Xenopus tropicalis: one gene and its partners. The protein of the gene in region 3 interacts with the protein of the main gene of each other region in a pairwise test. Links are inferred from orthologs where the notes say so. Each region holds a gene or a part of one and is shown on either strand. Other genes may lie near its edges. The genes, in order: ttc19, trim55, tcap, lamtor5 and atxn1.

What was found.
Region 1: the proteins of tcap (region 3) and ttc19 interact in binary tests that used the Homo sapiens proteins (3 or more experiments, as listed by UniProt). The link is inferred for Xenopus tropicalis from reciprocal best matches to the Homo sapiens genes TCAP and TTC19.
Region 2: the proteins of tcap (region 3) and trim55 interact in a two-hybrid assay, tested with the Homo sapiens proteins (2 studies listed by BioGRID and IntAct). The link is inferred for Xenopus tropicalis from reciprocal best matches to the Homo sapiens genes TCAP and TRIM55.
Region 4: the proteins of tcap (region 3) and lamtor5 interact in binary tests that used the Homo sapiens proteins (3 or more experiments, as listed by UniProt). The link is inferred for Xenopus tropicalis from reciprocal best matches to the Homo sapiens genes TCAP and LAMTOR5.
Region 5: the proteins of tcap (region 3) and atxn1 interact in binary tests that used the Homo sapiens proteins (3 or more experiments, as listed by UniProt). The link is inferred for Xenopus tropicalis from reciprocal best matches to the Homo sapiens genes TCAP and ATXN1.

The regions. Positions count from the first base shown.
Region 1 is NC_030678.2:29,746,077-29,751,732, reverse strand, and holds part of ttc19 (tetratricopeptide repeat protein 19, mitochondrial), read right to left. Parts: intron 5,444-5,656; coding exon 5,333-5,443; intron 3,590-5,332; coding exon 3,551-3,589; intron 3,079-3,550; coding exon 3,022-3,078; intron 2,941-3,021; coding exon 2,879-2,940; intron 2,793-2,878; coding exon 2,698-2,792; intron 1,992-2,697; coding exon 1,837-1,991; intron 1,432-1,836; coding exon 1,269-1,431; intron 1-1,268. UniProt on the Homo sapiens protein: Required for the preservation of the structural and functional integrity of mitochondrial respiratory complex III by allowing the physiological turnover of the Rieske protein UQCRFS1.
Region 2 is NC_030682.2:118,768,880-118,774,969, forward strand, and holds part of trim55 (tripartite motif-containing protein 55), read left to right. Parts: intron 1-351; coding exon of another isoform or gene 352-363; exon of another isoform or gene 364-1,396; intron 1,397-3,274; coding exon 3,275-3,562; intron 3,563-5,463; coding exon of another isoform or gene 5,464-5,484; exon of another isoform or gene 5,485-5,979; intron 5,980-6,090. UniProt on the Homo sapiens protein: E3 ubiquitin ligase that plays an important role in regulating cardiac development and contractility, muscle growth, metabolism, and fiber-type differentiation.
Region 3 is NC_030686.2:9,927,915-9,934,721, forward strand, and holds tcap (telethonin), read right to left. Parts: upstream 3,746-6,807; 5' UTR 3,666-3,745; coding exon 3,523-3,665; intron 2,812-3,522; coding exon 2,394-2,811; 3' UTR 1,407-2,393; downstream 1-1,406. UniProt on the Homo sapiens protein: Muscle assembly regulating factor. Mediates the antiparallel assembly of titin (TTN) molecules at the sarcomeric Z-disk.
Region 4 is NC_030678.2:72,304,710-72,311,489, forward strand, and holds the start of lamtor5 (ragulator complex protein LAMTOR5), read right to left. Parts: upstream 4,309-6,780; 5' UTR 4,217-4,308; coding exon 4,182-4,216; intron 3,830-4,181; exon of another isoform or gene 3,662-3,829; intron 3,632-3,661; exon of another isoform or gene 3,591-3,631; coding exon of another isoform or gene 3,559-3,590; intron 2,149-3,558; coding exon 2,087-2,148; intron 740-2,086; coding exon 622-739; intron 1-621. UniProt on the Homo sapiens protein: As part of the Ragulator complex it is involved in amino acid sensing and activation of mTORC1, a signaling complex promoting cell growth in response to growth factors, energy levels, and amino acids.
Region 5 is NC_030682.2:93,424,061-93,430,150, reverse strand, and holds part of atxn1 (ataxin-1), read right to left. Parts: intron 1,932-6,090; 5' UTR 1,763-1,931; coding exon 1-1,762. UniProt on the Homo sapiens protein: Chromatin-binding factor that repress Notch signaling in the absence of Notch intracellular domain by acting as a CBF1 corepressor. Binds to the HEY promoter and might assist, along with NCOR2, RBPJ-mediated repression. Binds RNA in vitro.

The DNA of each region.
Region 1 (5,656 bases), on a different chromosome or scaffold from region 3:
GGGGATCACTGCCCTAGATGGTTATATTCCCACTAACTAAGGTTGCACATTTAGGAGTATGAGTTAAGTGGAATAATAAACCTTATATGTAAATAGGATTTTCCCTATAAGTTTATAGCTAACATGCACAGAAAATTCATTTTGTGCATGCTTTTCATTTTTTTTTTATTACTTTTTTATTATTATGTATTTGCTATACAGGGGCTAAAACTAGCTGCTGATTTAGTCACTCCAGAGGTGGAACCTTGCTGGGCTTGCTATGCTATGGAGGCAAAATGACAACCTCCGTGACTGACAGAACAGAGCTTTATTAGATATATTGTGGCTATGCGGACAGCATTAGACTCTCTTGAAGAGTGCACACAAGGCTGTTTGTGGCCAAATAGTGTCCCGGTTTGCTCGTTATGCAAATGAGTGTGACATCACACGCGTGTGAGTAATGCACAAGACGGGAGGCTCTTTAATTAAGTGCATGTGTGTAACCAAACATGGCCGCCAACAGCAAGAGGTCCCATTATGGTGCAGGCGGCATAGCACTCACAGAGCATTTTTCTCTCAAAAGCCAGATCCACTGTATACATTTTTGTGCCAAAGGGAGTGGATTGGCCCATTTTACATTAGCAGAGAAAACTCCATGTATGCCACTAGCCTAACACCTACCTGCCTTAGGTAAAGCAATATATTAGCACAACATGAAGTCAAGTGCATTACACATGTCTAGCTAAGTCTAAATAAAATAATAATAATATGGCATCTTCCATTTAGATATATAACTGCAACCATTAAGAGCAGTGATTCCCTTCCCTCAGGAGCAACATATTGCTCCCCAACCCCTTGGATGTTGCTCCCAGTGCCCCCAAACCAGGGAGTTATTTTTGAATTCCTGACTTGGTGGCAAGTTTAGGTTGAATAAAAGCAAGATTTACTACCAAATAAAGCCTCCTGTAAGCGGATAGTGTGCATAGAGGCTGCCTAATAGCCAATCTTAGCCCTTATTTGGCTCCTCCATGAACTTTTATGGTGCTTGTGTTGCTCTCGAAGTCTTTTTACATGTGACTGTGGCTCACGAGTAAGAAAGGTTGGGGACCCCTGATTAAGAGAGTGCTGCACACAGACAGCTCTCCGCCATGCATTGTTAATTAAGGGGATAGAAAAAGTAAAAAAAGGAAGAGACGTGATATATAAAATGGCAATTCTAAAGTAGATGACAGATAAGGATTGAAGACGAGGATCAGTGGCCAGAGTCTGCAGAATCATAATGTTCTTACCTTGATAAGTAAGGATCATAGCCAGGTTACTTAGCACCACATGCAGGTCAGGGTGCTCAGTCTTACGAGCCAGCTCAGATGCTTGATTTACAATGGCAAAGGCCTCGTCGTGCTTGCCCAGGGCTTCCAGTGCAATTGCAATATCATTCATGAGTATAACACTCTGCAACACAGCAGCAGAAAAAAGTCAAGCTTAGCAGAAAAAGTTTAAAGAGAATAAACAACTTACTGCTTTATCAGCTTAAATTCTGCAAAGAAACCTTGTGTAAGTGTCACTCTAGGAATGAATATTCACATGCTCATAACCCAACATTAGGCCGTACATCAGATAAAGTAAATTATAAGGAAAAGATAGAGTCATGGGGCTTCTGAAAGCTTTAGCAGCACAAGTGCCTTTCTACCAGCAGAAAAGCATGGCATGCTCAGGAGACATGCGAGACAGACAGGGCTTCTGAAAGCTTTAGCAGCACAAGTGCCTTTCTACCAGCAGAAAAGCATGGCGTGCTCAGGAGACATGCAAGACAGACAGAGCAACACAAGACAGTGCTACAGTGCAAAGGATTTGTACCTGAGGGTGCTCTGTTCCCTGCTCCTCTGTGCAAATCCGTAATGCTTTTTCATACATATTTTGCGCCTGTGAAAATGATGAATTGTTTATCAGGTAACGACCATAAGAATCCAGGCATAACCCAAGGAGGAGACGTGTGTTGGATTTTTCATCAGCTGTTAAAATAAAATGAAATAAATAAGGCAGCAATGATTAAAACCTATTTTCCCATACTGAGTATGTTACATAGTTATATATTTGTAAAACACATACAAACAGAGACACCTACTATGATAAACATACACTGTAGTGGCGAGCAAAACCTCTTGTGTGTAGCCTTAATGGCTACTGTGATGGGGGCAATCGGTTTTGGCCACAGCTAGAATCTGATGGGAGACACAGCCACATCAACGGCATACTTTACTAAACATCACATTATTTTCAGGTGCACAAAAAAGACAATGTTTTGATACACTGTTTTCCAGATTCTTACAGTGGCCTACATGCCTTGCTTTTGGTCAGTTACATCTGTGAGCTAAACTCAAACTTGCAAGTAGTGCCAATATAGGTCTTGGTGGCTGCAGCTTGTCAGACTTCTATATGCCACACCATTCAGATGGCTAACAGACAGCAATGTCTTAATCACAGCATTGCTCAGTAGACAGAAGAGGCAAAACTTAAATCCACGCAGTAGTTAGTGCACTTTTCCACAAAGCTAGCACAGACATATCCTGGGCTGGACTTAATGTGAATGTGTACTGTTAATATGAATGAATTTTGTTTAAACATCAGTGCCACCTGCTGGTCTGTTTCCATCCGTGACAGTCAAGAAACATCTTTGCTCGCAAAAAAGTAAAGAAGTCGACAAAGCTAAGCTCTTACCAGCCAATGACCCCTCCAACAGACCTGCCTGTTTTTCAAGCTTTTCTTCCAGACTCAAGATACAGAACTGGTAGCCTGCCACTGCCAACTCTTTCCTGTAGTACATAATAGTTCAAAAGTCAGTGGTATTGGTTGATCCAGGTTTATGGAACTGAACAAATAAAACTAATGTATTACTTACTTGTTCTGTGTAGCGTAGATACTGGCCAGCTTGAGGGAAATCTCAATAAAGGCATTGTCATCCTGAGCAATAAAATACCCAAATGTTACCCTAATAACAGGATATTATATAGAGGCAACAAAGGTGGCAAAAGAAAAATATACCTGCTGGATGTTATCATTAAGCATGAAGATCAAGGTTTCCTTGAAAAGCTTTTCAGACTAGAAAGGAAAACAAAATGATACCTGCTATCAGCCAAATGTTCTTGTTAAAAGTATGCAACTATAATGCACTTATGTACTTATAGGGAAAGAAAAAAAAATCGGAGCAAAAGCAAAGCTGCTTGTAAAGGGAAGAGCGAGCTTAATTTGTAAGGTCCGTTTTACCCCTGAAAACAAAGGAAAAAGTGTTTGTTTTTGATGCTGGAGTGTCTCATTTTTACATCAGTGGTTCTCAACCTTCCTAATGCCGTGACCCTTTAATACAGTTCCTCATGTTGTGGTGACCCCCAACCATAAAATTATACCTAAAATCATCGGAAATATGTGATTTCCGATGGTCTTAGGCGACCCTTGTGGAAGGGTTGTTCGACCCCCAAAGGGGTCCCGACCCACAGGTTGAGAACCGCTGTTTTGCATCATTGTTAACTGTACATATTTGCTGGCGATTTAAATAATACTGTATAATACTCACTGTATCCAACTTTCCTGTGAGTAAAGCGAGGTTAGCCATCTGAAAGCAAAATAAAAGGCATAGATAAAGCGTTCATTCTACTTTTACCCAAATCAAAAATCCCTTTAATGAGCGTTATCTGCATTTACGTTTATTTCTCATTTAAGGGTCACAAGTAATGAGATTTTAAGTATTTTGCAACATTACACAGACACAAATGAAAGTTGATACTGCCCCATAAAATGGGCCAAAAAAAATATTTTGTTTGCACGATTCATTAAGGATTTGTAATAGTTTTAAAGTTATTTGCAAATGTATTTGCATTTGAAAGCAGGGGTTGTTTATCCCTTTCTGATCTCTGGTTCTGACTCTTTGGTTCTCCTCCAGGTCTTTTAATTATCTGGATGTGCTATATTGTTTCAGGAGTCAGAACAAGGAGTGAACAGACAATGCATTCAGTAGCAATTACATTTACAAATAACTATAAACGATTGAAAACCTTGAAATAATATGTACTGTAAAGTTTCTTAGAATTAGATTTTCTTTTATTATGCCGAAAAACCTGTTGTTGGGTGGGGAACCCCTTTTCCAAACTTCCCAGCAATGGTTTATCCAGACCCTGAGAATTGACAAACAGGGACTTTTGAGTCAGAAATCAACCCTTGCAGTGATTTAAAACTAACACACAACAAAAAGGCATCATGAGATTAAAGGGAACTTATTGTAGGAAAATAGTTTCTCCCATCGTAGGTGTGGGCTAATAAAGCCTGTGCTCTAGTCGGGGGAAACAATACTATTTTGATAAAAAAATGTTTGTAGTGTGCGCTATGCTGCCGTCACAAGTGTATAAATGAACAAGCTGGGACTCTTTTCATTATTTGCATGCTTAGAGTCCAAACATGGCCATCTGCACAGGGAGCACCCTTCCTACCATGAGCACTTCGGTGTGTCATCATGTGCCACTGGCTGTCATCATGTGACTGGCGTCACAGTTTGGCGCAAAATTTGAAATACAAGGACACTGAAGACCAAAATTCAATGCCAGAGTATAGGTCTTACTTAGTAAGTTCCTGGGAGCACCTAAATTGCTATTTTGACTTGATCTTTAAATTCTTCTGTTTTTTTAACCCTTGGATACGGCATTCTGAATTATTCCTGTCTGCATGAACCTATGCTTCCTACTTGGTCTCTTAACTTCAATTCCTGGTAAGACCTGGCTGGCCGTGGTACAACCATTGGGAGCACCCTCTCGGTTCAGACAGCATAGCGCTGATAAATTTTTTTTGCCCAAAATAGTATTGTTTCCCCCAAACTGTGTGCAGATTCTATTAGCCCTCACCTCCCGATGGGGGAAAAGATTTTTCTGTGATAATTGCCCTTGACGTGGTCTCAGGGATTTCCATAGCCTAGACTGTTAATCTACTGCCTGATTTATTAAACAGACAGGGGGTCCATCCAATCACAGGCACTCTTGGCCAAGTATATATAGAGGCAGACACACATTTTAAAGCTTGTGATTTATTTATAGCACAAGGGCCAGATATTAAGTGCACAGCATTTTCGCAGGGGATCCGTTTCACCTTTCTCACATGCAGCTGAGTGATGAGTTCTAAAACTCACTTTGTGCACATGTTCTGTGTCTTAAAAGGCCACTTAATTGCCAGGCACAAACAGAGCAGAGAAGATAATTTTTATAACTTTGTATTGTAGAAATAAATGCATTCATTGTACAAACGAGCCAAAAACACATTTAGCAGGTGGTGTTTATACCCCCTCTATAATTTAGGTGTGCAAAACACATACCAGATCATACGTGTAGATTATTGCTCTTGTGCTGCCAGACTTGTGAGCCATATTTAGGGCCTGATGCAAAATCTCTTCTGCCTCCTCCATTTCCCCTTTCATAATGCTTAGCTGAGGGAAGAACAAAATGAAAAGATAAATACATTGGTATGATAATAATATAATGCACCCTTAATAAGTAGGCATCTTATATTGGCTTTTTTATTGCTACCAAATACTACCAAAATTTTATTGCTACCAAATTCCTACACATCAGCTATGATGTTACATTGGTCCCCTGCCCGTTTGTGTGGGTTATGCAATGGATGGATTTTTATGCCAGCA
Region 2 (6,090 bases), on a different chromosome or scaffold from region 3:
CCAGGAGCTACTATGTGCTGTAGTCTGGGGACTTTCCTCACCAAGGCTTTTTAACATAAGTCAAAAGCATTAAATCAAAGCATAATTCAAGGTAAAAATAACTTTGAAACAAATAGAAAGAAAACTATGCCCATTAATTTGACTTTTTTAAAAACAAAAATAGTCATAGCCTCCTGTGAAACTGCTAGTAAAGTTGTAATAGAGAGAAATAGCAAGCCCATATTCTGTATTTTGGGTTGTCTCTGTGAATTGGTGCCCAAAATGTGCTCGGTAATAAACATGAGAAACTGCTTTATGAAGAAGCTGAATTTTATCTTTCTCTTTGATGTCTTTTTACTTCCATTTAACCAGATCCAGTTATAAGTCTTTTATTGCCTAAATTCACAACTGCATTTGTCTACAATGACTACTCATCTGCCACTTGGACATCTAAATAGCCAGTCTTTCTGTCTGCTGCAAAAAGTCACATAACTGCTTGAAATTCTGTGCTTCCGACCAACAATCTCTAACTCCTTGTCGCTGACAAACAAGTTAACTAAATGTGTCCCCCAAAAAAGAATCCTGAACAGAGCTTATTTATATAATTGCATTAAATATAATTTGCAGGGAAAGTTACATTTCTTAATACTTGGGAGACCTAGATCACCTTTCAAAAATCTAATTTTCTCAAATCTTGGAGGATTTCCTTGGGAATAGGCACCTCTGATTTTTACCAGTTCTACCAGGATTATGTAGGGACCTATAAGGCTAACAATCCCTATAGCTTTGAACCCTACACTTATTTATTTTACTGGTTCTGGGCAGAGATCCATGTAACAGATTTAACATATTATTAATAGGAAAGGGGTGGATCTTTCTCTTTGGCATCTGTTGAACCAGGTGGATTTTCCACTGAGCCTGGTATCAACATGGCCCCAGTAAAGCCATCATACCCCAGAGGGATCCATTACCTTTGGAGAAGTCAGGGCAGGGACCCCATGAACGAGGATTAGCTGGGGCAGGATAGATTTATATAATAGCACTTTCTAGTACGTCAGCTTTAGTTATAAAGAGCAGCGTTCTGGCTCCAACCAGGAGAACAGCAGGAGTAGCCTCCTTTACAGGCTCTGCTGCCTTAGTGTAGGGACTACACAGGGGAGCGCAGTACTGACAAGGGTATCAGGCATAGTCTTCTTTGCTATAGGGGATCAGGTCAATTAAGGTGGAAACCCTAAGGATATACTGTAAATCTACTTAACTCAGCTGATTCTCCATAGTGGTGCATCATTTGTTACTGCTGCATCTTGTGTATCTGCATACCTGCCATTTCATCTGCATTTGTGAGTATTGATAACCCTGCATTGCCTTGATTGTCTTGCACAATAAACCAATTCTGTTTGAGTGTGCTGAAAAAGAACAACTAGCATCCTTCTTTTACGTCGCTATTACATCTGGCAGTGGAAGGTGTAGATCAACAACACCATCCATAACAAACCTTCCACATAGCGAAAGGCCCATCCAGTTTGTTAGAGTCCAGTATACCCCATGCTCTAACCAATCACCAGCTGGACTTTATTACATCCAAAAAGGGGTTACAATTATTTATGAAGGTGATACACACAGATTATGAACATGATCTGATTTAGCCATTCACTGGGGTTTATTGTCTAACCAATTTCCCCATTGAGGCAAGGAATATTCTCCTGCCATTCGGTATTTATGCATTTAAGGGCATCTTGCCAATTAATTAATATAATAGTCAAGCAAAGAAGAGTGAGACATTTTTAGCTTTGTAGCCTTGAGTTTGGCCTCTAGTTCTCTGTCTAGGAGGAGGGACAGAGAATTGCCCTTTACACACTTGGCTAAACTCGGGCATCAAAAGAGCTTAAAGTTTAAAAAGAAAAGACGTCATTATTACAAGCTGCAATTAAAACATTCATAATATACAGTAATTGTCCCTGTTTAGTAGAAGATACCTTTTCTATGAGTTTATTCTATGGCCCTTGCACCTAGTGGATGTTAGAGCATTTGTTGATGAGAGGAATGTAATAAAGAGAAGCCGCACCTCTAAGGTTCCTATATCAAAACTGCAGTGTTGCTGACCGCTAGCGATGAGCACATTTTTTTAACTGGTATTTATTTGTGTCTGAATTTGTGCAAGTAGCAACAATTTTTGCAAATTTGTGTTAGAATTTCACCAGGAGTTTTATTTCATCTCATTGACTTCAAAGCATTTTGGTGTGAGAAAATTCTTGAGAAAAAACAGCAACTCATTTCAATCCATTTGGAAAACTCAACAAAAAAAACGCCCATTAATTCCAATGTATTTTGACTGCAATGCATTTGGCTTGATAAAAAAGCATTTTGTGCAAGAAAATGCCTATTGGCTCCAGTGCATACATTTTGCAATTAAGTGTATTTTTCAGCGGTTTTGCAAATTTTGTGGCTATCATTATTAATGACCTCCACTAGGAGTACAGCAACGTCACACAGAATAATAGTAAATAGTCGCACATACATTAAACTACAAAGTGGAATTTACAGGGGATGGGTACTCTCATTTCCTAAAATGTGATTGTGACACTTTAAGGCAGATTTATCAAAATGTGAGATTAGAGCTCTCCATAGAAAATGTACCCACTTTCTATTCATTCCTATGGGATTTTTAGAAGCATATTTATCAATCAGTGAAAGTTAGGGCTGTGACACACAGGGAGATTAGTCGCCAGCGGCAAGGGAGATTTGTCGCGCGGCGACTAATCTCCCCATGTGTCACGGTTCTTAGAGTTCACCATTTGATAAATATGCTTCTAAATACCCATAGGAATGAAAATATCTTTTTCTGTGGTGAGCTCTAATCTCACAGTTTGATAAATCTGCCCTACATTGTTTGGTATGTATTTAAATATAATTTTTAGCAGTTACAGTCTTACAGTTTTGTATTATTATTATTATTGTAAATATTGCATTGTGGGTCTTTATTATCTGTATAAAGGAAAACCAAATAATATTACTAGTAATTCACTTGGAAGTTTCAAAATATTCATAACGCACCATTTTTCTGCTGTATATATATATATATTGATATTGATAGATATTGGATACAGAATGGGAACGTTAGAAGGCACTCTATTAAAACCATTTTATTTAACTAACAAGGCACATTGAAGCTTTTGGTTTAGGTAATTGTGACTAGGTACATGGCAAAGCAATATACTGTGTGAGCTTTCAGAAAGACTGCGTTTCCTCATTCATGCCAGAAGATAACTGTTCCTTTTTTACTTTATCTGTTCAGATAAAGGGGGAGGTTGAGCCAAGTGATATCCAACAGGCCTCTGAGTCTAACGCTCAAGTGCTGTCAGCAGCAGAACCCACCGATCCCTTGCTTTATCCTAGTTGGTATAAGGGCCAAGCACAGCAAGATTCCAGCGCAGACAAAGTCGAGTTGAGTGATGCTCTGGGTCCCGTAGGTCAATCAGTTACTAAGGAAATTACTGTAAAGGATGATCTTTCATCAGTAACTCTTAAAGAAAGTTTGGCAGTGGCTGGTAAGGACACCAGCTCATCTGCAGAAATCCCAAAGGTCAGTGATTGTCTCCACGTTGCAATTGTTTGACAGTGTAACATAGGTACAAACCTTTTAGAAAGAATAGATAAGCTTCCTATACTGCACAGAACATTTGCTTGTAAATAAATATGTTTGATTAGCTCTCAGGCTTACTTTTGCAAAGATTCTCAAGATTAAAGGAGAACTAAAGCCTAGCTATACACCCAGTAGCTCCCCATTCTCTTTTCTACTGATTCACATTCTCTGTGCTGTTGTCACTTATCTGCTCTTAGGTAGTGACGCACAATATACTGTATATTCAGAATATAAATGTAACAATATAGCAGTTATATCTAGTATAAATAAATTTGAAGCAACTGGACTTGCTAAGTAATCATTGAAGACGTTTCACTACTCATCCGAGCAGCTTCTTCAGTTCAACTGACTGGTATGGGAAGTCCCATACCTGTTTGAAGAGTTGCATGATACTTTGGTAATCCTTTCAAAGTAACTCCACAGCATTCACACCTCTGTGAGTTTCAGATGTCACCTTTTTGAAGAGTTACATAGTGCCATTGTGATTGGATTAGTGGAAAAGTATATATGCTGAGGACTTCCCATACCAGTCAGTTGAACTGAAGAAGCTGCTCGGATGAGTAGTGAAACGTCTTCAATGATTACCAAACAAGTCCAGTTGCTTCAAATTTATTTATACTAGATATACCATGACCTGGATGAATGAAAATCTTCATATAAATATAGCAGTTAATACAGATAATTACTACATGGCAGCTCAGACAACTGTGCATTGGTAATAATGAACCCTACAGCATCAGCTTATATTACAGGCCAAGCTTTTCTCTGCTTGATAATTTACAAAGACCCCTAAGCCCAACTTCTCAACAGCTGCCAAGCATGTGAGCATGTGAATGTCACTGACACTTTCCAAGATGGGGAGCTCATGTGACAAGTTTCAAGTTCTGGATCATTGCTTCTATAGAGATGCTGAAACTTTAGGCTGATGCAGCAAGTTCAGTATAAAAAACATGGCATTTGTAGCCATATACATTTTTTAGGGTTTAGTTCTCCTTTAATTTATCTTTCTACTTCCTGCTGTGTCTTGCCTTGGGTGTATTACAGACCAACCAATAACAAAATGAGGCCACAAACTTAACAAGGCAATTTGTTATGGCAACTATTAATGTTCCTTTAAGAATGTAAGGTCTTCCCCGCCAAATGCATATTAAAATAGCATGTCTGTACCTTTAGAACCTTGTTTCTCTTATTGTAAAGTAACATTTAGGTGCTCTAGTTTGTCCCTCTGCCTCAGCCCCTGATGTCACATGTCTGAACTAATGCATATAAGGCTAAAATGCTTGCCTCTAAGCAGAAGCTCTCTGCCTGAACAGATGCATTTCTATGCTTACTGTTATATCTGACACATTTAAGTTAAGAACTATGTGGCGAAAAGTATCTGGACATCTGTCTGTGCAACATCTTTTTCCCCAACCAAGGGTATTAATTTGCAGTTGGTTCCCCTTTGGCTGTCATAGCAGCCTAGTCATTGGGTCCTGGAACATTATTACACAATATACTGCACAATACAAACAATATGTCATGACAATATTCACAAATTAGAATTCAGCCATTTCATAGTAAAAATGATATTGAATATCTACAAGTGATGAGACTTCCGGACACACTCAACTTATCCAACATTAATCAGCAGCAAGCCCAAGTGGAAGCCAGAAATAGCCTTACCATGATGTCAAGAATAGAACTGCTTTATCAGGGGGCTATTTAAAACCCCTTATCCTTTTACATTTCTAGTTTCTCTATGGAGAAGGGCCAAGTGAAGCCTTGCAGTGTTTCAATGCTGGCATTTTGTCAATCACCAGGTTTATAAAACCGTAATACATTTTCTTTCTTCAAAACAGTTGCAAGAGAATGTGTTGTAAAACAAGACATGCCCTTTAAATAGCAAATACGTGACTGGGATACCGGCACACACAAACCTGCAGCCCAGCAAATATTCCCTGGCAGCAGAGAGAATGGAAGGGTTTCAGCCCTGTTCATCTACAAACAGGGGGGAGAAAGAGATACAATATCATTTTTCCTTTATATATATTACATTTTTGTTACAAATGTTCCCTCTTCTTTAATGTTCCTTTCTTCTTGGCTGTGTGTGCAGAAAATTTCTTTTGCACACTGTGTGCACACTTTAAATAAACTGGTGTGCGCAGTACAAAAGTATGTGTTTTCACCTAAAATTCTTTGTGTCCATCACAATTTATTGTGTGCTGGTCTCAAAATTTGTGTGCACGAGTGCACAGCTTAGAGGGAACATTGTGTGTTACTACCTAAATAGGTATATTGTTATAGTATAATAGGAGCAATATGCAAATGGTTCCATTCTTCCTACTGTTTGAAATAAAAAAAATATACAATTACCATTATTTGCTAATGGTTTGTTATTGTCTTTGATTTTTCTTTCTGTACATCCAATTTTTGCACATCCGCACTTTGTGTGGCCATGCCCATTTTCAAACATTTATTACAACATT
Region 3 (6,807 bases):
GCTCCCCCTGCCTGACCGTTCCTCCCTTACTCGCGCTCAGGGGAGGACTTCGGGTGGGGGACCCTGCAGGGGGTTAGGGGGGCCACTGTGGGGGGGTTAGGGGATGCAGCTGGCAGGGCACCTACAGGGCCCCTGGGGCGGGAGCCCCGGTGGGCCCTACTCCCCCCAGTCCGACCCTGCCTCATAACATTGTCCTGTTCCCCTTGCCATTATAGAGGCACTAGAAGCCAAACCATGGCCCTGGCCAGGTGTGGATGCTCCTTTTTGGAGATCCCCATGATCCATGCTAACAATGGCAGCCAACACCACGGTGCAGCTCTGCAACTCTAGATAATGGTCTTGGGGGCCATGCAAAGGTGCTATAGGTAACTTTTTACCAGGGAAACGTTTCTAAGACCAAGCTGTGAGGCTGACCCCTGAGCCAGTGCAGGACATTCGGGAAGCGTGCCTTGTTACTACATTAGATAATCCTGAAAGCCCAGCCTGAAGGTCAATAGGGTGTTATGGGGGTGAAAACTTATTTACTGTCCTAGATATTTTTGGAACTATGACTGAATGGCACATACAGTGATGTTTACATATGTCAGTCACCTTGTTATAAACTAAGGGGAGCCCTGGCCAAGTGTTGGGGCCTTAACAGGGACAAAACTTGGCTTGGGCAGGTCTGGAAACCACTACCTAGGTGCATACAAAGATTGTTTCTCAGATTGTATTACAGACTAAACAGTGTCACTGCCAGACTGGACCTACTAGGGCCCACCAGAGAACTTGGCATCCAGGGACCACCCTCTTAACAATTAAGGGTACACAGTGCTACTTGATGTAGGTATTATATAGGCCTAGGTTGGAAACAAGGACGGGCTGGAGCCAATTACCATAAGCTAGGGGCCTTGTAGGGCCTGGATGGACTTCATTTCATAAAAACATAGATGCATTTACCCCTAGAACCGATCCTTACCTTGCTTTGACTTAGTTGTCCTTATTTAAAGCAGGTATCTTCAACCGATATCAGTGGCACATATGGCTGATACAATTAATATCTGTTTATACCTATGAAGGAATACTCGTTATTGTTGTATTCTGTATGTGCTCTTATTGTTGGGAAAACATGGCACACACTATTAATATATTATATTTACTTATACTAAGTATATAAATGCACTGGGGTTTGCTTGGAATGGTTGAACTTGATGGACTTTGGTCTTTTCTCAACCCAACTTAACTATGTAACCATTGCATAAGCAATACATTCAATACATATCAATACCAGATCCCTTGAGATCAGGGTACCTTTTGACTATGTATATATATATATATATATATATATATGTGTACACACCTAGCAATGTGTGTGTATTTGTGTGTGTATATTATACTGTGAATATAAATGTAAGCGTCACAATAAAAAAAGGGCTGAAACATTCATTTTATTAGACGTAAGAAAATAACATTAGAACTTAATTAGTACCAAGACAAAGGAGAACATAGGTACAAATATAAATATGTATCTGTTTTCATATAAAACTGTGCAAACATATCTGAGCCCCATTAAGGGCAGAGGGATCTGCAGTCCATCGTTTCACCTAACGGGTTTTTCTTTGTCCCATCACTCAAGGTGTAGAAGCCACCATGGCCCAAGTATGGCAGCTCCCGCCGTGCCATTGGGTAGTTCAGTCACCTGGATTTCATGTAGGAGAGGATGGGGATATACAGTATATTGTAGCCCATTCCATTATGGGTCTGATGCCTACATTGCCCCACCCTGGGGCTTTATACAAACTATGTCCCTCATTATAACTATTCACCTGCAATCTCTCTGCCGAGTGCCCCGGGTAACTTGCTTATTGGCAGTGCTGTAAGCGGCTTTTCTAGATCAGATCAGACTGAAATGCTCAACCGGGTCTCCAACCTTTCTTAAATTGGCCACCAACCATTGCACTATAAACCAGGGCAACAAGGAACCCATTGTTGTCTAGTAAAAAGGGAATTCAGCCATAGTACCCTGTCTCCCATCCTGGGCTTGGGGAATGACTACCTTTTCCCCCCTAACTCTACACTAAGGACAACGAGCTCCTGCACCTACTCATATGCCACCTTCCATTCCATATATCATTCCCAAAATTGTGACCTACAGATAAAAGACATATAAACTTCTGCAAATAATCTCAAGCTGGAATATTCTATCCAGTTTACAAACACAACGAAGAGGTTGCCGCCGGGAACCAATTGGCCGTTTCCCTATAATCCAGCTATACAAAGTAGGGGCCTTCTAGAGCAGACACCATGCAGACACACACTGCACTCTAACCTGGCCATCTATGACTAGCAGATAGGATTGGGTGGTTGCTCTACACCTTTCACTCTCCTCTAGACCCTTCGCCTTCTCCTCTCTTCTACCCTCTCATGACTTCTTGGGACGTAGACCTTGTGAAAGACTGGGCCAGGCCTGGCTTCATCATCTCCATTCTCACTGGTTGCATGACTGGAGGCAACTCTTTAGTGATCTGGGAGAGCGACTTCTTATCCGGACAGACGCCGTCATTGCCTGGGTGGCTAAGCGCCCTCTCGAACTCCATCATGCCGCGCAGCTGGGGCGGGGTGGCTATGCGTTCCATCTTGGTGCTGAGATCTGCTGGCTTGAAGATGGGCAGAGGCAACATTCTCTGGTAGGGCAGCTGGTACTGGGTGAGTCTCTGGCCAAGGCGACCCATTTTCATGACCTGTGCGGGAGACTGTTGGACCAGGAAGCGGGTCTGTCCCTGTTGGCGGAAACTCTCTCTCCTCCACACATTGGCATCACGGGCATTGCAGCTGAAATGGGGAGCAAAAGAAATGATTAATACTCAATACTTTATCATACCCACAAGCAACACTGTAACCCTTTGGGTACCTATTCCTGTGTGCCAAGTCTTTAGGTGTCAGCATTGGGCATGCAGTAATATGACAGATTTGGAAAGGAAGAGTTGGGGGGTAGCAGAACAAACCAGCGAAAGTAACACTTTGGGGGGTAATGTATGAGGCGGTCTCCTCAACCCTTATGACTTGTCCGTGAATCCCCACTCCTGGCTCTCCCTAAGCTGATCAGAAAACCCTGCGCTACACTGATGAGCCCCAAGAAGGGCAAAACCGGTCTGTAGTTGGGAATCTGATCAGCTATTACCCCGGCTTCTGCTTCACCCATTGGGTGAGCTTTAACCTATAGGATAAACCCAAATGGGATTTTTTTTTAGGAGCCTCAAGGAATTTGTTCCCGGGAATCCCTTGGGGGTAATGTAATAAATACAGCAAAGGTTAGTCTGGGTCTAGTAACCCATAGCAACCAATCAGCACAGAGAATTTAATGTGTTTTTAAATACAGAGACATGGGGATGCCAGGGGTATGGCTTCCCTTTAAACTAGGGTGTGTGTTGGTTTAAAGGGCAACTAAAGGCATATAAAATAACAGGTAGAGCACATGTGTGTAACAGTTGTCCTCCCCTCCCCACTGCCAGCTCCCTTGTCCCCCCATTCTCCCCTTCATACCTTTCCTCTGGTCGGCTGAACATGGAGGTGTCTATCCATTCTGCGGAGAAGTGCTCCCTCCTGGCCGTGTTATCCTCTTGCACTCGGCAGCTCAGCTCAGTCACGTTCCCCATGGCCTTGGGGGTCCCAGGCTTTCCCACCATGTTTCTCTAGATTTAGCTCTGTGGCTTCTCCCTCTGATTCCCTGTGTGTGTGGCTCTGCCAGGCAGGGCTCTTCCCCGCATTTATATACCCTTGTCTGTGTCTATTTTCATTCTGTTTTGTAACACTCTATATCTGCCCAAAGAGTCATCCTGCCCCCCCCCCCCAGCGCTGCCCCTCGCACAGTCACAGTGGGGACAGATATGGAACAGAGCTGGGACTCAGGGCTTCCCAGAAAGCTGCTCACTGCCGCCCAGCTTGATACATACCTATAGGCTTTGTCATCAATAACCGGGTTACACGGTCTCAGCGGAAAATGCGAGGGCTCATATGTTACAGTAAGAGCTCCTTATGGCAGCCCATTAGGGACAGAACTGTCATTAGGGAATGCCAGGCTGGGTAAATAGCCTGCTGGGTGGCATAGAAAGAGTGCTGGCAAGCTCAGTACAAGTATAGGACCCATTATCCAGAATGCTCAGGACCAAGGGTATTCTGGATAAGGCGTCTTTCCATAATTTGGATCTCCATACCTACTACAAAATCAATAAAACATTAATTAAACCCAACAGGATTGTTTTGTATCCATTGATACTTGATCTTAGTAAACCCAATAGGGCTGTTCTGCCCCCAATAAGGGGTAATTATATCTTAGTTGGGATCAAGTACAGGTACTGTTTTATTATTACAGAGAAAAGAGAATCATTTAACCATTAAATAAACCCAATAGGGCTGTTCTGCCCCCAATAAGGGGTAATTATATCTTAGTTGGGATCAAGTACAGGTACTGTTTTATTATTACAGAGAAAAGGGAATCATTTAACCATGAAATAAACCCAATAGGGCTGTTCTGCCCCCAATAAGGGGTAATTATATCTTAGTTGGGATCAAGTACAGGTACTGTTTTATTATTACAGAGAAAAGGGAATCATTTAACCATGAAATAAACCCAATAGGGCTGTTCTGCCCCCAATAAGGGGTAATTATATCTTAGTTGGGATCAAGTACAGGTACTGTTTTATTATTACAGAGAAAAGGGAATCATTTAACCATTAAATAAACCCAATAGGGCTGTTCTGCCCCCAATAAGGGGTAATTATATCTTAGTTGGGATCAAGTACAGGTACTGTTTTATTATTACAGAGAAAATGGACATCACTGAAAAAAATGGGAGTTACTTTCTTAAAATGCATTCTATGGGAGATGGCCTTCCTGTAATTTGGAGCCTTCTGGATAACAGGCTTCTGGATAACAGATCCCATCATTGCATTAATATTTTGACAGTAAACATTTAACCATTTGTACTTTATAAATGGCCTATCAGCAGATAAGTGAGCTCCTCCACATAGGGTTGTGACCTGTCGCAGATTGTCGCATATAGCCCCACCCCTGTGACAGCAGTGGCCCATCACTATGATGTCACTGCCCCACCAGTGACATCAGACCCTGCCTCCCTGCTCCCAGCTAAGAAAAAAGACAAAAGATATCATATATAAAATTGTTCTAATTTTTTCACTGGATTCTAGGAGTTGTAGTTTAACAACACCTATATTACACTATTTAACACTATACTATCTATAGAACTCCATTCTGCTCCTCTAGCATAGAGAGGTAAGCTAGACGGAGTTTAGCGATTAGGGGCAATTAGTTGCTGTGACTTTTTAAAAAAGTCCCGGCGAGGAAGCGTGCACTTTAAACAGCAACTCGTGCATCAATCTATGGCAACTAAATCGGTGCAATTAGTTGATGCTACAAGTCGCAGTGACTAATCGCCCCGTGTGTCTTGGCCCTAAGAGTAAATGACCCTTAAGGCCCCCATACACGGGCCGATTTTTTTACTGTCAAATGACCGATTCCCGAACGATCCGATACTATCGTTAAGTTATCGTATAGTTGATGGTGTGCGAACGGTTGTCGGCCCACTAATCGACCCGACATTATCGTCCCCAAAATCGATTGGCCAGGTTCGTTTAACGATAAAATCTGCCAGTTGGTGTGAGTGTCAGACATTTGTCTTCGAACGATTGTTCTCTGCGCATGTCATGATTGCCAGCAGCGGAAGTCAACGAACAATGAACAAATACCGCTTCCGCCACGGCATTCGATCGTACGTAGATGTACGACATTGGATCGTACGTATTTTACGATAATGATACGATGAAATCTTTTGCAAATTATCGTTGCCCGTGGATGGCATATCGAATGGAAACCCGATCGCCATACGATCATTTGTCGATATAATCGTTCGTCGCACAACGAGTGAAATCGCCTCATGTATGGGGGCCTTTATACTCTCCCTTGTTATGGAAATTCCATTGCAGTATATAAAGCCAAATCCTAACTGAATTGCATTGGGATTTTGCTGCCAATGTCCTATTGTTATTGTATTGGCCCAGGTGGTACAGAACATGAGCCGGGATCTTGGGCGGGGGGTTACGTGTCTATCTTTTCCTCCTTTTATGGCCGATCTGACGAGTGGAGGGGTTGGTGTGACCTTGATAAATCCTCTCTGTTAAATAAACAAGTTCAGTGCTACTAATCCCCCGGGGGTCGGTGCCAGAGTGCAACTGGAGAGCCGCAGCGGGTATTCGCTCTCACTGCCACCCTCCCTATCTGTCACTCACCCCTACTCTCTGCTAATAGCTCCCCCGGCCATTACCATTCATTTTCCCAATCACGGCTTGTACCACATGGCATGCAGTCGCCAGTTAGCTCTGATTGCTCAGCCAGTGAAAGCATTTACAGTCTGAGGATTTCCCAACTGTCTGTTATTCTTCCTACTGTTTATTTATTAAATAGTATTAACTGGATCTTACTGGTAAAGGAAGGATAACTTGTGCCCCAAGGATAAATTATTTAATATTATTTGTACAAGTGCAGGTTTCCAACTTGTGGGGCAGGAATGGTTACCTTGGTGCTCTTGCAGAACTACATCCTTCATAAGATGGCTGCCAGCATGCTAAGCATCATGAGCTTAAGCCAGGGGAGTGCAGGGCCCTGCAGGTGCCCCCGCCGGCCGCGTCCCCTAACCCCCCCTGCAGGGGCCCCCATAACCCCCCGCAGGGTTCCCCACCCGAGGGAGAGATTTGAGCTGCTGATTCGGCCCATTCAGACCAAGATTGCCTGTGTACCCCCCACCAACTCTTC
Region 4 (6,780 bases), on a different chromosome or scaffold from region 3:
CCTTAAGAAGGATATTAATGAGCTGGAGAGAGTGTAGAGATGTGAAACTGAACTGGTAAAGGGGAAGGAAGACTTAAACTATGAGGTTAGACTGTCAAGGTTGGGGTTGTTTTCTCTGGAAAAAAGGAGAGGGGGTTATAGACTGATTGGTGGTATTGTTTTTTTCCCATAACCCCAAAACGATCAGTGCACTGCACTAGAGGCCACCCCTTTAGATTAGAGGAAGGGAACTTTCATTTAGGTGCTTAGGTGTTTTTGTTTTTTTTTTACAGTGAGGTTGTGGAATGCCCTTCCTAGTGATGATGTAATGGCAGATTCTGTTAATGTCTTTAAGAGGGGCCTGGATGAGGTCTTGAACAAGCATAGTATCCAAGGCTATTGTGATACTAAAATCTACAGTTAGTATTGATGTTGGTATATATAGTTTATGTATGTAAGTATATAGATAGGTCAGTATGGGTCTATGTGTGTGCACTAGGCTTCACTTGGAAGGGTTGAGCTTGATGGTCTTTTTGCAACCCAACTTACCTAAGTAACAACAAAAAGAAAACAAGTAATGGCTTAATTATTGTCCTGTAGATATATATTCTGGATTCTCTAACTGTATGAAAATGGCCTCACCCGTTGTCAGATTCTAGGCATACAACTGGCACATCTGTGGGGTCTGACGTAAGTTTGGCTGCATACTGAGGAAGAATGGAGATCACACCAGCATGTTTATCGGAAAGGCTTCCACAACCTTCAAGAAAAATAATATATATTTTTTTTTTTTTAATACTCAACCACTAAAAGTTTGGGGGACAGATTTGGGGTTGAAAAAACAAGTGAGCAGCAGTAGAAATACTATAGTGCATTGTTTTAGTTCCTGGAGAAGTGGAACATGAAGCACTTAATACAATCACATTAATAATGCATTTTAGAAAGAAGAAAGTGTAACCTTCTAAAATATAAGCATCTTAAAATACAGACAATTAAATAGGAATGCATGCTAACCAATGGTACACCTCAAGTAATTGGCTCTTATTACATCCTACTACTGTAGTGTATAGGTCTCATGACACTGCATGGTCATGACACTGCAATGGTTCTTTCAAATATCTACAGAGACTAGGGCATGGAAAGGCAACACTTGGCTTAAGGAGAAGAATCTTTACTTTTTCAGGATTTACTAAATTGTTCATATTCTGGATACATTTTTCCACTAAAATATGTTACCCTTTATATATGTATAGCACTAACATATCATTCACTTCAGTCTGTCCCAGTGGAGCTTATTGTCATGAGAGAATTTTCATTAGCCTACCCAAACCTACCCTACACCTCCAAAAAAAAGTTTGTTTTTTTTTTTTTTTTTTTTTTAAAAAAGGCAGCCTCAAGGACAGGTTTGCAAGTGCTAAGCCACTGCTGATTTCAGAGGGAAAGTGAACCTTGTGATCACGAGTATTTTGTGGTGGGAGCACAAAGACTCAGCAACGCAGGTACAGAAGCTTCTGTTCTTGGCTTTTGGCATATATTGTCTGCTGCTGTCAGGGGCCCCAAGAGAATTAAAAACACAAGTAGGGTGGGGCTTGCATGGAGTAGGCAGGGTTTTGGACTAATGAAGCATGATGAGGGGATCAGGGGCATGGTTGTGTGTGTGCAGGCCATGGTGCCTTCAGCCCAGGTGACCAATGGATTAAAAACCTATTGTGTTACTTAACAGGGTTTACCAAAGGGGTCAGTACCCCCATGCAAGAGTCTGTTTGTTTCTACTGACTCTTTCACAGATTACTTTGGCTGCAGAGTAACAGATAGCAATCTCCATAAAAGGGAGAGGGAGCCTTCACATAAGACAAATATTGGAAGTTCAGCAGCTACACCAAATGGTCAAAGGTAATTCTCAGAGCAACGTAATTAATATAAAGCTGTTCCTCCGTTTGCTGCTATAATAGCCTCTACTCTTCTGGGAAGGATTTCCACAGCTGTTTATTTGAATTAAGCCTAAAAATGAATTTGTTAACCTTACTCAGAGTGTTCCTCAGAGTACTTTTGCAATTTACATCAATTTTCAATATTATACACAAAACCAATGTAAAAGGGTACTCACATCCCAGACTTAGCCCCTGTGAATCTGTACACAGAACTCCAACAATTGATGGATTTTTCATTCTGAAAAAGTAAGGAACGGCAAAACACTTGTGTCAAGATACCAAACAAATACTGGTTACCTATCTGAAAGCTATTTCAGCTATATCATCTCTACTAGTTCATAGGATATTATAGATATAGATTATTATAGATTAACCAAACAAATTTAAAAAGTGATAGAGTGGCCATAGCTGCCATTTTGTCCTTATAGTCAGGGGAAAAGAAAGATGATGTTGCAAAGTTTAGACAATTAGTCAGTCTCTGATGTTTCTTGTGTCAGTATTAAACAACACAACTTTTCTCAGAAATATATATATACTTCCAAATAGATGCCGGCACTCACTCACTCAGGTCCAAAAATTATTGAATATACTGGAGGAAGTGTCAGTACTCGCAGGACTTGTTGTTTTATTATATAGGAGACTAAAATTTCGGCTAGCACTCTAGCCTTTATCAAAGTGGTGAATACAACAAACTCAGTGTCTAAAAAGCACACAGTGGTGGGAAAAAGTGGAGATGACGTAATCCTACGTTACCAGACAGAGATCAAAATTATATCAAAAATAAATAATAACAAAAATTATATAGACAGGCAATAAAAAAAGAATACTAAATGGACAAAATAGAAAGTACAAGAGAATAACCACAAGGTCTAAGAAGAGTAACACTTTTTATGAAGCTAGATGTCAGGGATGTACCGTGAAAGTCAGAATATTAGAGTAAAATAGTCAGAAATATAATCAAGTGTTTAAATAAAGTTGAATCTTGGTTAAGGAATCAATAATATGTGATCGCACTGTGGGCAGATCGATCTGTGCAACCCGTTTATTAAACACCTCTATACAGATCATGCACTAGAAAATACTCACTAGCAGAGGATCAAGACCATGAATGTATTTGTTAAGTAAAATTCCAGGTGTAGAGTCAAACAAGGAAGCCACATGGTTGTGTGTCTGCTTGGACACAAACACACATCTATATATACACTTATTTACAGACCTATATGTACACACGTGTTGTTGCACATATACACATACAATTACACACATATTGATGCACATATATACACATGTGCACCTAAATATTTACTTATATATGTGTCTATATGTGCACATATATAAGCACTTTCATACACACATACGCATGTATATATGAGCACCTATGCACGCACCAATGAATACAGATATATATATATATATATATATACACACAATTGCAATAAAGGTTAGCACTCACAGGACTTTGGTTAATATTCACCAAAAAAGTTTTTTAGCAATATCTTACATGGTTTTTATTAATCCGACGTTTCAGCTCCACACAAGAGCCAGTATGCCTGACTCCATCAAAACATGCACAGCCCCCATCCCTTTCAGTTATGCCACTTTGCCCACCTACACAACTCCACTCCATCATCCTCCTCACATAACCTACCTGCCAGCCACTTGTGCCATTTCCTTACACATAACTGCATGGCCACCTCTGCCACCCAATTCACCTACACAGTTTCATGAGCCTTCTCACCCCCAATAAGGATTTACATGCAGTTAACTCATGACTCCCCAAACCTCCATGCCTGATATTGCACTGCTTCCTCCTAACAAAAACTCCAAGGCCTCCTCTGCTTTTCGAGTAAACCCCTCCAACAACTTCCTTGCAATTAATCTGTGCATCCGAATTTACATCCCCTCTTCAACTGCCTACCCGCCTAACAGCAACAACATGGTCGTTACCTTGTGTAACTAATAGCTCACACTTATGCTTATACCCCCTCCCCCAGATGCCCCAGTCTCCGAATGAACAGTGACAGTGTTCACCGCTTCCTCCCCCCACGATTTCCTCTCCTGAGTGAGATCACGCATGTAGGAATGATTAAAAATAAGAGAATCTGAACTATTACCAGCAAACTTAAAGACACGTTACGAAATTCAAGTTCTGAAGTGCATTTCTGTCTGTTTGAATTATTTCTGTTCTTTCGCTTTAAATGTCCTGATTTTACTAATTGAAAAAAACCAATTAATTTTATTTTCCTTAGTATGTGTTTACAGAGCACTCACGTATCTTCCAAATGCTGCTCCAGAGCCGCTTCCATAGCTGAGTCTCTTCTTCCTGTCAAAAAAACCTTAAAGCAGTTCCTCTTCCGGGTGTTTGCTCATGTGACCCTCCCGGTCAGCTGACTGTTAGACAGAAGGTGGGGCTAATGGGAGTTTTCGTTTGCAGTATTTGAAGCTCTGGCGCTATTAAGAAAAATCAATGAATGAAAAATACTATTAATATGCTTTGGCTTAATGGTGGTTCCGCTACAATGCACAATGCTTCATACAAAGCTAACATACTCTGAGAATAGGTTTCTTGATTACTGTTTTTACTGGCCTGACAGTAGGATTCTTGTCCATTTTGGTTTCTTGACTTCCTTTTGCAATTTAGTGTTTACAGAGGGTTAACTGACTTTGGGTGTCACGTGGGTTAATGTCCAGAGTGAATTTTACACCCAGTTCCATGGAGCTCTAGATTTGTTACTGCACATGACGTTGTTTCTTCTCCCAAATGGATGTGGTGGGCTTCAATCAAAGGAAATAAAATATTTCTAAAATATATATTAAAGGGTTTGTTCACCTTAGTTAAGTTAAGTGGCTATTGATAAACATAACCACAGAGTTTGTGAATGTGGTAAGAACTGAAAGCTCTACTGGGGCAAGGACAGATGTAAATTCCCCCTACTACTACCTGCCCAATCCTTAACTTGCATGTTATTCCTCACCTCATGCTGGATTGTTTATTAGGCCTAGGGTGCAGAGTGCAACCAGAAGCTTGACAGAAGTGGTCTTTTGAATGAGAAACTAAGAGTTATGCTATTGGACTTATGTCCGGGTCATATAAAAATGATCACTATTCACTTTCAATTCTTGTGCCACTCGGCACAAATGGTGGTTTTTGCCAGACTGTTCAATAAAAAACAGGAGAGGGTGCCCTTGCATAGAGTAGCATGCATTTATTCTAACAGGATGCTCCCACAGTTAAGGGTATGGGCCCAAACGGCTTAGTGTCAAGATTTTTCAATATTTTACGAGAAAACCCATCCTATACTAGCATATGGGAAAACACAGATACAGTTACATTCTTTACATAAGCTCACATTGCAGTCACGCTGTAATAGGGTAAAACACTACAATACTCTAGGCTGCTACAAGCTTATCTCTCTCTTGAACACTAAAGGTGGCCATACACAGGCTGATTGTAGCTGCCGGATATTGGTCCCTTGGACTGATTCGGCAGCTTATCGGCCCGTGTAGGGGCAGCAACGACTGCCTGCCCGACTGATAGCTGGCCTAAAATTGCCAGATATAGATCGGCAGGTTAAAAAATTCAGTTGGATCGGCGACCGTATCGGCTCGTTGATGTGGTCCCCCAACCGACTGGCTCCCCAGGGCCAAATGACCGAATTAACCTAAATTCCCCCGATATCGCCACCTGTTGATGGGGATATCGGGAGAAGGGACCTCGAAAGGCGAGCGGATCTTTAAGTATGGCCACCTTAAACATTTGTTTGTGGAAAAGGAGCAAGGCAACAAACAATTTAAATGTTCTGTTTTACAGAAATTACACAGGTAAATGAAATATAATTACATAAGTACTAGATATAACCAGCAGATGGTGCTATTGCTTAAAATTTTACTAAGAGCAACTTTACTTCGCTTTTTTTGAGGCTCTCAAACAAACGAATGTAATGTTACTATATTTCGTTTAGGCTTATGGCCCACGAGGAAGCTTTGCGCGACTTCGGAAAGCTGAAGCTATGTGTAGGCCTTTCCACAGGTAACTCCTACTGTTGCCGGTGGAAAGACATTTCTGACATTTCTCATGTTAAATCATCTTGCCGATGATTTATTATTGATCATTCAAAATGTTAATAACTCGCTTTAAGAAATCTTTATTTTTTTACATGATTGTGGTTCATTTTTGGAGGTACAAAATTAACGCTCACAAGACTGAAACTAGAAAGGGAAGTTTGAGAATAAACTTCATGTTGGTTTGAAAAACATAAAGTCACTGAATGAAATCTGATATGTTGTTGACTTGGTCCACTTTTTCTAACCTTGGACCCACAGTTATATAGTAAAAAACACTCTGCAAAGTTTGGAGACCCTGGTTTTAATAGTGTCTAAATGGCAGCAATTTAAATTTCCCCACTGAAAGTCAACAAGTGACATCTGATTGGCGGTTGGTGGCTCTGCCCATTTGTTCTAATCTGGAACTGCAGTTACCCAGTGACTAACTCTGCAAAGTTTAGGGACCCTAGGATTAATAGTTACAGAACGGCAGCAGTTTAAATTTAAACCAATAAAAGTCAATAGGTGAATTGTAAATGGTGGTTGGTGGGTGTGCCCGCTTTTTCTAACCTTTAGTCAAAGTCACCCAGTGACTAACAGTGGGCACCTTGGCATAAATAGTGTGAGAATGGCAGCATTTTAAATTGAAACCAATAAAATTCAATGGATGAACTGTGATTGACTATTAGTGGCCCAACCCAGTTTTGCTATTTTTGAACTGCAGTCTCCAATGACCAACTTTGCAAAGTTTGGGGACATAAAAATTGTGGGACTGCATTTTACACTTCACCATTGAAAATCAATAGGTAAAATCTGATTGGCTGTT
Region 5 (6,090 bases), on a different chromosome or scaffold from region 3:
TAATATCTGCACTTTGTATGAAGTCATCTGTTTTTAAATCCTCTACTTTCTTTAGCTCACCATTGGCCAGCTGTATGATTGACCCTTTCATAAAGTAAGGGGGCAGTGTAGGGGCAGTTGCCATATGAGAAGCAACAGACTGTACAACAGGGAGGTGGATTTGAGCTGGGACCAATGCAGCCTGGTAGGCAGTTTGAGTTGCCAGTGTTTCAGCACTGTAGTTTTCACCTTTTGGAATGGGCGTAGTGACAAATGTATGAGGCACTGCTGCAAACTGGGGAGATGACGTCACAATACCAGGTGTAACCCCAACCCTAGATGATTCCATGTCTGGATTGCCAACAGGTATAAGTAAGGGCTGGGTTCCAGGGAACACCAAGTGTTGTGGCAAATTTCCAGGGTAGCCAATGGTTTGCTGCTGACTGCTGAGATAGCCAATAACTGGCTGTTGTGTACCCGCATAAAAAGCAGCAGGCAAACCAACAGAAAGTTGTTCTGCTGCACTGTGAGTTGTCTGGATGACAGTGTGAGGAGATAATGTAGCCACAGTTTTTACTACTTCTGGGCATAATGTTTGCTGTGGGGATAAAACATAGGGCCGATGGGTTTGCTTTCCTAAATGTATGCTTCCCCTGTTATGAGCTGCTAAAGGTGAGGTTTCTCTCTTAATAGTTTGTGAGACATCCATGTCTGTGGCAGTTGTGTTGCTGTTAGGCACTACCATGACTGAGGTCCGAACTCCTGAGGGATCCCGAGTACTATAATCAGTACTAGGGTGCACCACCACATGTCTTGTCTCATAATGTTGGGAAGCTGGTTTATTATTGCCTGCTTTCATTAACTGTGCATCTGCAGTACAATGGACTCCAAATCTTCGAACTTTCTCTATTTCTCCATTCAATAACTCCTTGGTCTGTGACCTGTAATTGTCTTCCTTCTTTGCAGGGTCCCTAGCAATAAAATGAGCTCCTGAATCTGAGTACTGCACGACCACCTGGGAAGGTGCACCTAGTGTAAGTGTATTCGGAATCACTGTAGAGTGAGTAGGTAAATGAACAGGTGGTGAGAGAGTTCTGACTGTGCTCTGGGATGAGCTGGAAAGATGGACATATTGACTTGGCTGAGTAGGTGAACCTGCAGTAATTAATCCTGGTGTCCGATCTAGATGTGGTTCTATTTTATGTCCCTGCTGACTTAGGCTGTTTGTATTGGCCAGCATACTGGAAAAAGCCTCCACCTGGGACCGCTGGGTTGGAGTTGTAACACCTACTGGCATGGAGGACACTGCACTGGATCCAGAATTTGATGTAGGTGAAATAAGCTGTGAATTTATGAATCCTGCATATGATGGTCCACTATATGGTGGCCCAATAAACTGGTAAGTTTGGGGCACATTAGCATATTGCACAGGAGACATAGATGCCCCTGACAGAGACTGAGCAGTTTGGTAATTGGCAGGAACTGTTGTTGCAACTGGTACCGATCTTGTAGTACTAGTGGGAGAATAGTCCATACTCGTAGAAAGTGATTTATGTAAACTTCCTCCCTTTTGTAAACCAGTTTCTGTTGAAGTTCCTGGAGGCCCATGATGACGTGCACCAAGGTCACTGCTGGGCTTGGATGGGAGCCATGATAAGCTATTTGTGCGGTGGTTTTCATTTGTCAGTCCAACGGTCTTCTCTTCAGAAGGTCGACTGGTGGCGGGTATTTCACGTTTCTTTGGTGGCAGGCTTTCATTGCTTCGTTCTTGGTTAGATTTCATGTTTTGCTCTCTGCCACCCCCGCCAACCACCACTGCTTGCTCACTGTCTGACTGACGCTGATTTCAGTCTGGTGAATGGAAAGTCGCATTTAAATCTGTTAGAGATCCCAATGACTTCATGAGGAATCATCTCCCTTGGAGCACAATCTTCCAACAGTTGATGTGAAATCTACATACAATAAATAGAAAAAGGAAACATTAAAGGACACCAAGACAACTGTAGCATAACCAGCTGCAACAAAGGTTCTACATCCACTGCTATATAAGAAATAAATTGGGGGTATAACCAATGAGCTGGCATTATCTGGGGTATGGCCAAACAAACAAAACAAAACACCACTGATGTCACAGACCCATATACTCTGTTTATCATAATAATTCCCCTACCCTAGGGTAAGTGGGACTCTAGCAATAAGATAATGATTCAATAAGCAGCAATAAGAGTTATATGGACAAATAATCTCTATACTTTATTGCTTGTGCAAGGGCTACTTTGTACTGAGAATGTATGTACTCACAGTATTATCTGTATTGCCAGAATATTTAAAGATTTTCATATTTTATCGTTATATATCTGTTAATTTAAGAGCATGTTCTTCGTACTTGGGTAGCTTTTTATCAAAAAAATGTATCCGGCAGCCTTCCATGTTTTGGTGGCACGTCAACTCCTATTATTCCCTGACAGCCGAAGGCAAAGAACATGAAGAAAATTGGGGCAAGGTGATGGGAGAACCATTTTGTATTAAGAGAAGTATCACTCCAGAGCAAAGTGCTGACTGTTATTAGATCTGTGGAGGTGTGTGTTAATGTGATTGAGAAAACAACTGTGAGGGAAAGACTTTGCTCTTCAAGGAGAAAACTGATGAAAATCCTGTGTTATTTTTCTCACTGCAAAATTGAGAATATCTGCCTCTAAGCCCTGCAATTTGCTGTCAAGTGTATTCTTTATTTAATACCTGAAATCATTAGCAACAGTTCAGCAGTATCACAGGCTTCCCATTTTTTTTAAAGGAGAACTAACAGCAATAAAATGCTCCTAAACCTATGGGGTGATTTATAACATTTTGGTCAATTTCAGTAAGATTTTAACAAATCAAAGCTTTAATAAATCATTTTGCAGAAATGTTGGAATGATTTTTCCCCATATGCAATTTGCATGAGGACGCAAGAATTCAGACGGGTGATAGCACTTGGTGCTGCTGCTGAACAAAAGTATGGAGCCCCCTTCTTGCTCCTGTTTAAACCCCATTTGATTGGGTGATGCAATGTGCATCCGCAGCCTTTTGCGATATCGGTTGCCTCTTGGAGCAGCCATACACGCACCGAATACCGAATTATCGGTGCATATATGGCCAGCTTAATTAAAACCCAGTGATTTCAGAGGAATTACATGTCCTCTCTTGCTTTAATATGCCAGAGCTTGCTGTAACACATGTGCCATTATCACACTTTTTGTAGTAAATATGGTGCAACCTATTGGACTGACTTAAGGGGTCTAACTGTTAGCATGGCAATAGTATCTAATAATCTGACACATTCAGTCAGGGTTGTGTTGGAACATATCACAACTTTTGTCAGACAGTAAAAAGGCATATTTAGTGCATAAGCCAACATCACCGGTGATGTTAACCATAGCAACAGAACCATAGCAACAGATCTTTACTTTTGTTTTCTAATTTGTAGGTGACTGTTTAAATCTAATTGCTTACTGGTTGCTATGGGGAACATCACCAGTAATGTTGGCTTATACACTATAATAAATATGCCCCATCGTAGAATATTATTAGATCTGATTAGTCAGATCCCACTATGATCTGTAAATACATGTAAATTAGACCTACCGGTATATGATATGTATGTAAAGGAACACATTCTTAAGCATCACTAGCGTCTAACCAAAGAATTAAAAAATTAAAAAGTCCCCATAGACTGCTCTATTAATTACCAAAAAAAATTTACTATTTTTTCCTAGCACAAAGGGTTCTTTGCAAGGCCTATGTGACAGATAGCATAAAGATATATATATATAACGCTGCCAGAATAATTTCAAAACACTGCCCATTATAGTGCGTTTGAATCATGGTGGCTAAGACAACTCATTTCTATAATTGGCTATGGTATTGCATAGGGATATGCCAAGAACCATCATCTCTAATCAGTCTAGGCAAGACATCAACTGTGACATGACAGTGCTTGGGAGCTGATATACCTCCACCCCGAGCCTATACATAGCCTCTGCAAAACTATATCACAGAGGGGCTCATCATTCACCTGTTTCTGGTCTTAAATATAGTTAGTTTTGAATGTTCATTTGACAAACATGTAGATATAAATGAGCTTTTAATACCTCTAAGGTAGACTTAATAAGTAATCCAGAGAATGCAAGCACTGTTCCTGTGACTTAGCAGAATTACATAGGTTTTAATTTACTACGTTAAAGTCATTTCAGTCTACTGAAGAGTCCTGCTGGGCAACGCAAATGATTTATGATCTTACCACAGGCAATGAATTGAATATGAATAATACAGAAGTCTGCAGAATTCAAAGAAGTAGTAAGGTGCTTTTAAGTGCACTGCTGGTTTAAGCTAGCTCTTTGGTCTGCATGATATACACTTGGGACTCCTCCTAGCAGAACTGTCATTAAATCTCATTATTGTTTTTTTTTTTTTGCAGAATAGTTTTTCTTAACTTAGTATAAACTTTATATTTTGAAATATATTTTATCAAGATTTCTATTTGTCTAGATTTTCTTGGTTGCAATATAACATATTATAACATTATACATGACCTATGGCACAAATTCAAGAATCATTTATAACACAATTTTATAGGGCTGGTAAGGCAAGAGGTTAAACGGTCATGGTTTTACTACCCCCATATAAAAAGCTCTATAGGTGTCTTTAGTGTCTCAGAAGCAGTAGAGGGCTGTTCTAAGGAGTCACACATTAATTCAGAGTAACAATTATCCTTTACAAAAAATATTTTAGGAGACATGTAGGCAGACCAGCTGTTGGGCCACAAAAGTGGTTTTTTTTAACACCAGGCACATGGGGTTTGGGAAAGAGTCGGTTTCCTTTGCCTTCAACTACATTTAGCAGTTAATAAAAAGTCAAGAATAGAACCTAGGAAACAGGTAAACAATTAGTTTGTTTTCTAGGTCAGTCTGGGCTAAAGGATGGCACCTTGTTTTGTTTTACTTTATTGTGCGGCATGCCTAGCGCAAATAAAGCTCCAATAACTCCAGTAAGGGTGTCTGATTGTAAAAAGGCTTTACATAAGGGTAGGTTGGGATGTGGGTAACGGTGGGGTATAAAAAAACACAGCCCAGTGTATTTTGTACTAATAATGACAGAGAATAAATACATCATAAACAACTTCTTTTAAGATATATGTAAGAAGTCAAAAATCTGTCTTTCTTTAAGCAGTGCTTCAAATAACTTGACCATTTATTATCTAACGAATATAAAGTATTGTTTTTTCCCAATTTAGACAAATACCTAGAACATCAATGAATTATTACTTATATTAACGTTAATTTCCCTATTTTACCTAAGCTGATAAAGTATTGTGCTTATAAGTGACTTTAACTGACTAAAAAATACAAATTACGGGCACTACTTATAAATCACTATAACTAGAACAGCATTTGAAATAGGAAAACTCTTTTAGAAGCAGATTTGTCAAAATATGAGATTAGAGCTCACTTCCACTTTCTATTCATTCATATTTATTTATTAATGGGTCAAAGTTAGAGGTTAACACTTGATAAATAAACTTTTAAAAATCCCATATGAGTGCAAAGAAAGTGGGTGAATTTTTCTGTGGTTTCACAATGAAATCTGCCCCATCATTTTGGACACATTTAGATGGATTTCTATTTAGAGCAATTGTTTTTTTTTACATATTCTGTGTATAAAAAAAAAATTACATACTGTGTGACATGAATTTTGATGATTTTTTCAACATAACGTTTTCCAGCTTAGTCTCCAAAATGAGAAAAATTATATATATGTTTGGTACCTGTGTAGAATGTAGTCAGTCATTGAAATGTGATACTGATACTTTTAGTAAGACTTGCTGTTTTGGTAAAAAAAGTTATATTTTAATGCCATTCAAACCTTCCAAAAACGCTGAGGTAGGAAAAGTTCCTTCTTCAATGTAAAATGGACAAACAAGGTACTGGGCAAGCACTGGGTAGACAGGACAAAGAACATAACGTAACATGTGAGAACTGGGCATATGATTGTTGAAACAACCAAGAGAAATGCAGTCACTTGATATTCTAGACCAGTCAGTGACCCCCTACCAGCACCGATGGGGCTAACCAG